Linked DNA regions of Macaca fascicularis. The protein of the gene in region 2 interacts with the protein of the main gene of each other region in a pairwise test. Links are inferred from orthologs where the notes say so. Each region holds a gene or a part of one and is shown on either strand. Other genes may lie near its edges.

The links.
Region 1: the proteins of DLC1 (region 2) and RASA1 interact in binary tests that used the Homo sapiens proteins (3 or more experiments, as listed by UniProt). The link is inferred for Macaca fascicularis from reciprocal best matches to the Homo sapiens genes DLC1 and RASA1.

The regions. Positions count from the first base shown.
Region 1 is NC_088380.1:91,374,476-91,378,246, reverse strand, and holds the end of RASA1 (ras GTPase-activating protein 1), read right to left. Parts: intron 3,376-3,771; exon of another isoform or gene 3,257-3,375; intron 3,188-3,256; coding exon 3,053-3,187; intron 1,824-3,052; coding exon 1,740-1,823; 3' UTR 716-1,739; downstream 1-715. UniProt on the Homo sapiens protein: Inhibitory regulator of the Ras-cyclic AMP pathway. Stimulates the GTPase of normal but not oncogenic Ras p21; this stimulation may be further increased in the presence of NCK1.
Region 2 is NC_088382.1:16,033,812-16,037,637, reverse strand, and holds part of DLC1 (rho GTPase-activating protein 7), read left to right. Parts: intron 1-1,588; coding exon 1,589-1,762; intron 1,763-2,121; coding exon 2,122-2,242; 3' UTR 2,243-3,826. UniProt on the Homo sapiens protein: Functions as a GTPase-activating protein for the small GTPases RHOA, RHOB, RHOC and CDC42, terminating their downstream signaling.

The DNA.
Region 1 (3,771 bases), on a different chromosome or scaffold from region 2:
TTAGTATGGCTAAAGATTGAGGCGTGATTAGTGGGAACCAAAGTGCATAGCAAAATATCTTGACTAGTCCATATCCTCCCTGTCTTCTATCATGTAACTAAGGAAGGAGACCACCTGGGTTGTTCCAAGTCCAGCTATAAAACAGAAGGGATGGAAAGGAGAGTAATTTGATAAAAAAGCCAGGAAGGGAGAGAATGGAATGAATTGAGTTGATTTCAAGGAAAAGGAGCACGGGACATGTTGAGATTTTTGGTATCAATGTTAAACTGTGATTGAAGCCACAGAGGTTAGCAGCCCCCATAGAAATAATTGCCTTTTGTAGCTTGAAACTGTTAAGCAGACATCTTTTAAACCTTTAGCATTTTTTTTTCCTGTATTTTATACATTAGAGGAACAGCATAAAGTGTTGCTCTTGGAATCTAGGCCTTTCCTTACTGTAAGAACACCTCCTTGGGTTCCTGTCTCACCCACTTTTATTACCAATGTCATTCTGCCACATATGTTCCATATGTCATACCTGCCCTGCACAATTATGAGATGGAAGGAATTGCTGCATATATAGAATCCTTTTCAAAAGAGGCCATTAGCAAAAATACTGATCTAAAGCTTCAGCTTCTCCCTGGGCCTTGCTCTGGTGCTAAGGTTTAAACTGCCCCTGAAGGAGGAAGAAAATAAATTAAATGCTTAGCTCTATTTAGACAGAAGTAATCAATTATGCAAGATATCCCTTGGTTTTATTTTAACTTAACCTTTGTGAATACTTCACAAAAATACACATACAGAAGTAAATAAAACTATACAGTTGAACTAAATGTCCAGCAGATACAACAAGTAGTCAGAAGTTCAAAGATGGATAAGTTAGGCAGCTGATGAGGTTTGTCTGCATAATCAAAGGGGTAGGGTAGCACAAATAATGAACAAATAACTTTTAACAAAAACATTCTAGTTAACATAAAAGAAACTGGTAGTCTATGAAATGAAGGGGTAACATGCATTGATCAATACAACAACCAATAATATTTACTGAATTCAAACTATTTACTGTTGTAAACATTTAACAAAGCATTATGAGATCTAAATACAGTCTTTGACAATTTCAACAAAATAAGTAGTATGTTTAAAAAATAAAGCTGATGAGCAATAGATCATTCTATATATTTTCTTTCAACAGTTCCAGCAAGAGAAATAGCACAGTATTTTTTAAAAGTATACAGCAAAGATTGTTCCTATTATAATGACAAACTCTGGAAACTGTAAATACAAATAATCATTGAACAGTCAAATGGTCATATTCCTAATCAGGAAGTAGTTACAGTAAGAACAGTCTGCAATCCAGTTATACACAATTGTCAATAAGAGAATGTGTCAGTTGATTTCATAGTTCTTTCTCTAAGAGAGAGCAAAACTTTGGCAACTGGGTGTACTGAAAATATATTTTCAAAGTTCAAGATACAGTCATAGCATTTTGTTTTGTGAAAGGTGATCTGTACACCAAGGCTCAGAGGTTGTTAAAGATTGATTCCATGTGGAAATAGTGCAAATATCCTGCACAGATAGCTTACAAGGTTGCTGGCATAGTTATGCACTAGCAGAATCTTGGATTTTGTTTGCATAGCTCACACATCATTGGAATGTGGAAAAGTGTGCTATTTTTTGGCAAGAGCAAAGGAGATATTATACTGAAGTGAATTACCATGTTGGGCATGATGAATCCATGCAGAACACTGGGGCGAAGGCTGCTACCTGACATCATTGGTTTTTGTATACTGGTTTTGTTTTTGTTGAAGCAGTTCTGTTATAGCCAGAAGCTTTTTCAGTACGTGCTAGACAGAGGAAAAATGGTATGAAAATAAATGAAAGCTCGGTCAGCAATTTCAGGATGGGAACCTGGATTTGAAAAAAGCCATATCAAAGCAAAGGGATGCATAAAATATTAGCACAATTCCACTCAAAACATAAGTTTCTATTATTCAGTCATTGGCTGAGTATTTCTGGTCATAACTAAGAGAATTTTTATATATAGTGAACAGAAATTTGTGTTTGGCATGCTCCTGTTTTTTAGGCCAGAACTATCACTATCACATTTTGCCAGAAGCAGTTTACCTCTCTTTAAAGGTCTTTTAATTTAATATTTAAGGCAAGTCATATTATTAGCTTTGAAAGCTGGGGGGTGGGGGGCTCGGAGGAACAGGACTTGAGGATTCTAGAATCTCAGATTGTAGAGAACTCAGTCACCAAATTCAATGCTTTAATCCCTTCTACAAAATCCCTGCCAAATGGTTAGCCAGTGCGGTGACAGCATTCACTATCTCCTGAAACTACATTAGAAACTAGTCAAAACTGTCCCTGTGGTCACTTCTTCTCAGTGGCCCTTATGTCAGCTGAGGACATTGAAAATGTAACCCGTTTTGTTCTGTATCTCCAGTATCTTAATTGACCTGGTGTTAAGTCTCTTTGAATACATCCTAATCTGTATCTGTTTGGTGCAGATGGCAGATAGAAAAGTCTATCAATGTAGTCTACTGTTTCTCAAAAGTGTAGGCCATGGTTCACTTGCATCAGAATCCCTATAAATTCCTGGAAGAGTTTGCTAGATGTGCAGCTTTCAAGGCCACACTTCAGAATCTCTGGATGTGAATTTGACAAACATCCCAAATAATAATCATTTGTTTCACAATTTGAGAATCACTTTGGCCATGCACTGTATCTGTATGTGACAGAGAAGAGACAGAAACTGAAAGAAAAAAAAAATCAATACTGACTTACTAGCCATTTTCACATACGTCGCCAAAGTATGTTAACAGTTACACTGCTTTCCAGTAGAATTAAGATGCAGACTCAAGAGCAAAACCTGATGTTTTTCAGTATTAAATGTACATCATTTTAGTCTGGGCCCGTTATTTCTGTCTGCTGAGATCTTTTGTTAATATGATGCAGAGTCTCAAAAATTTAATGTAACAAGAAAAAATGTTAACCAGAATTCAGTTATTTACCACCTCTCAAAGTGTTATCCTTGAAACATCATTGTTAATGAAGGCTGGCAAAAGCCTACCTGCTGTGCACCACGCTCATTACTGAGCGTTCGAAGTTCATCTGAATGAGCCACACAAATCTCATGCAGTGCTGCCAAATCACGGGACAGGTCCGTTCTAGAATGTTCTGTAGTGTCCGGAAGTTCAGGTACGTTCTTTAAGGGAATTGTAAAATTGCATTTAGAAATACAAATCTTTTTTTTTTTTTTAATTTTTTGAGACAGAGTTTCGCTCTTGTTGCCCAGGCTGGAGTGTGATGGCATGATCTCGGCTCACTGCAACCTCCTTCTCCCGGGTTCAAGTGATTCTCCTGCCTCAGCCTCCCAAGTAGCTAGGATTACAGGTGCCTGCCACCATGCCCGGCTAATTTTTTGTTAGAAATACAAATCTTTATAGTCTCATGTGAAAATATTCTAATTGAGTATATTAATTTTTTTTAATTCTCAAATTTCTTAAAATTCTGAAGATTCTTATTGAAATATAAAATTCAGCATTAATGATGGTAAAATATAGACTCTGTAACCTTTGTATTCACATTTAAGCCAGATTCTATTTTTTTCCATAGCATGACAGATGTGGTAAAATATTATTGCTATTCTAAAAATAAGGGTCGGGGGATGTGGCTTCCTAACAATTAGCTTTATATCTGAAATATAGAACATATGCCAAATAGTGTAGGTTAACTGCTAATCTGGATTAAATGCAGCCTATACTTAAAATTCCTAGATGAAATTTCATT
Region 2 (3,826 bases):
AAACAGATCTACATTTATTCTAGCAATGTGTTCCTCACTGAGAATGGCTTGAACTCCTTGGTAACTGAGCTCGGAAAGAGAGGCGCCTTCCAATGAATATGCTCATTGGTAGCAGATTTTTGCCCCTTTTAGGATAGATTTTCTTGTCAGAAACAGCTAGTGAATGAATAAGCCAGGAAATAACATTTGAGTCCCAAGGGAGATGTGGTTAAGGCTGATTTATGTGTAATTCATAAATTCTCTTGAGATATTACTGAAAGAAGAATTCCAAAAATCTTTGAGGAAATGTCATGTTGGAAGTCCAGACCTTTTCAAACAGCCAGTGCTCCTTTAGGTGTCTGTGTTCCAAGACATTTGTGAAATAGAAAAAATTGTTTTAAGCTACACTTCAAATTGGCTCTTTTTTCAAAGAGGAGGCTGTCTGAGCATATAAACCCTCTGTAACAGCGACTCTGTACAGAGTTCCTCATTCGGGAGTCCTTGTATAGTGTCTTCGTGCATATAATACTAATACTGCTCTAACAGAATGTCACAGACCGGGCAATTTATAATGAACAGATATTTATTTGGCTCTTGGTTCTAAAGGCTGGGAAGTCCAAGATCAAGGAGTTGCATCTGGTTGTTTGTTTGTTGTTTGTTTGTTTGATTTGGGGACATGGTTTCATTCTGTCACCCATGCCAGGGTACAGTGGCAAGCTCATGGCTCACTGAAGCCTTCACCTCCCAGGCTCAAGCAATCCTCCCCCCTCAGCCTCCCCAGTAGTTGGTACTACAGGCATGTGCCACCATGCCTGGCTAACTTGTTGATTGTTTCTGGTGGTAACATGGTTTCACCATATTGTCCAGGCTGGTCTCAAACTCCTGGGCTCAAGCGATCCTCCTACCTCAACCTCCCAAAGTGCCAGGATTTCAGGCATGAACCACCATGCCCAGCCTAGTGAGGGTCTTCTTACTGTGTCCTCCCAGAGTGGAAGGGCAAAGAGAGGGCAAGGGAGAGCAAAAGAGAAAATGTGCAGCTTTAAGCCATTTTTATTTATATATTTATTTATTTTGAGATAGAGGGTCTCACTTTGTTGCCCAAGTTTGAGTGCAGTGGCATGATTACAGCTTAAGCAATCCTACCATCTCAGACCCCCAAGTAGCTGGGATTACAGGAGCACACCACCATGCCTGGCTAATATTTTTTATTTTTAGTAGAGATGAGGTCTCACTATGTTGCCCAGGCTGGTCTTGAACTCCTGATCTCAAGCAATCCTCCCTCCCCAGCTTCCCAAAGTGCTGGGATTAAAGGCGTGAGCCACGGAACCCAGCCTCAAGCTCTTATAATTGCCATTAATCCAGCTCCCATTAGGCCCCACCTCCCAACACTGTTGTATTGGGGATTCAGTTTCTAGCACATGCTTTTTGGGGAACACATGTACACCATAGCAAGTAGCTTAGAGGATGCCATTTATCTAGGCCTGGGCCACACAGCACAGCCACTGAGCCTGACCCATCACCCCACTGCAAATAGGGAAGAGTGAAGCATGATTTTAAACTTGGCTTCTATGAAATTGCATCATTTCCGCCTCTGGTTTTGTCTCTACAGAACCTGGAGGACTAATTTACCCAAAGGAGCCTGTGCCCTTTTACTGACCTCCGTGGATCACGATCGGGCTCCTGTGGTGGGTGTGAGGGTTAATGTACTCTTGTCCAGGTATTTGATTGAACCCTGTGGGCCAGGAAAATCCAAGCTCACCTACATGTGCAGAGCTGACTTAAGGTATGTTCTGATTCTGATTTTTTTAATACGGTGAGGGTCATGAAGGAAATTCAGACTTTTTGTTTAATGCAAAGAATGCCCTAAATGAACACATCATTGTTTCCTGGTGACTTCATGAAGAGTGGTGTTTATACAGTAGCATTTCATGTTTGTTGGTCTTCCAGCGACCGCTTCCTAATTTGGATCCCTTAGAAAATGTAGTTCTAAAGCAAAGCAAATACGGTAGCTTGGCCATGAATTCAAAGCCACAGGAAGTGATAGATTTTATGCATTTGAACTAGCAAACAGACGTTTGTCATTTTATTTCCATGCTTTCTAACTTAAATGATTCATCTGCTTTTCTTTCTTTTCTCTGATAGGGGCCACATGCCAGAGTGGTACACAAAATCTTTTGGACATTTGTGTGCAGCTGAAGTTGTAAAGATCCGGGATTCCTTCAGTAACCAGAACACTGAAACCAAAGACACCAAATCTAGGTGATCACTGAAGCAAAGCAACCGCTTCCACCACCAGGGTGTTTGTTTCTAGAACCTTTGCCAGTCCTTGAAGAATGGGTTCTGTGTCTAATCCTGAAACAAAGAAAACTACGTGCTGGAGTGTAGGAATTGACTATAGCAATTTGATACATTTTTAAAGCTGCTTCCTGTTTGTTGAGGGTCTGTATTCATAGACCTTGACTGGAATATGTAAGACTGTGCAAAAAAAATGTATTTGTATTCTTATTCAAATTGCTTCTGAGAAGCAAAACTCTTTAGATACATTATGGAAGATAATGAAGATACTTCATTCTCTCGTGATATCGGTGTATGCGTACCTGTGTCGCTTTATTTGCAGTGTGCTGAGGGACTGGTGTATCCACTGGAATAGCTGGTACTCTTTGACGTGTTTTCTCACCAAGATGAGCAAAGAAAGGTTTGCACAGAGGAGTGTGAATGTGTGTTTGTTGCTGGCTGAATGGCAATAGATGTCTAAGATGGATTCAGTGTCTGGCACACTGAGACACCTCCAAGAAGGAGATTGATGCGTCAGGTTCAGTTTAACCTGGAATATCTGACTACCCGTGAATCCACCCAGAAAGGGGACCCGACACCCTTGTCCGTTTATGCTTTGTTGTTTTTTTTTTCCAAGTTACTAAGCGTATTCCTTCTCCACCAACCTCTTTTGTACTTTGATTGAATATAGATTGGCTCTGACACCCATTTCAAATGCAGTTTCTTTGTAGACCTGATTGCAAATAGTGATGTAGTTTTAACCAGTATGGATTAGTTCAGGGATGAACTGCTCCCTCCGGCCTTACTGGCTGTGATCCACAGGGTTTTGTTTTGTTTAAGTTGAGATGTAAAAACTGAACGTGATAACACTTACTCTTAAATCAAGCATCAAAACGTTTTCCCTGTTAGAATTCTTTGCATTTTTGTGTTTGTAACAGAAACGCTTTAGGACACTATGTTTGGGAATATAGGAAACTGTGTGGCCCAAGGAAATCCCTGTAAATTTAACCCGCCTAGGAAAGGCTTTTTCCCCCGCCTTTGGTTGTTAACGGCATTCCCGAAAGCCACATGTGTTTATTAATTGGGTTTGTTCTTATCAATAGGTTTTCTGGTTTTATGACCTTTTGTCTTATTTTATTTTTCCTACATTTCTTTCTTTTTTTTCCTTTAGAATGCCCTTGAAATATATTTAAGTGGTAATGAAAAATAGGAATCATAGTAAAAAACAACAAGAAAACCAACTCAAACCAGTGAAGTTTTTTAGAAGGGTGGTCTTTATTCAGGTTTTACTGGAATGGTAAGGATTGACTCAAGAGACAGTATTAGTAAATTTATTTTGTATGGATCAAAAGTGAATAATGTATGAATGAGAGTTGTAAGAAGGATTTTTATTTTGTTATAATGTAGTTACCATTTTCAGTGTTATTTCAAAGGTTCTTTGAAGAATTTCGGGGCAGGGGGTCAGATTAGAGTTTTAAAATTTGAGTATTTTGGATATCAGTGTTCCTCATGAAGATATACTTGGATATTCAATTTTGATGGCTTCCAGATTTGTAAGATTGTATGTTGTATA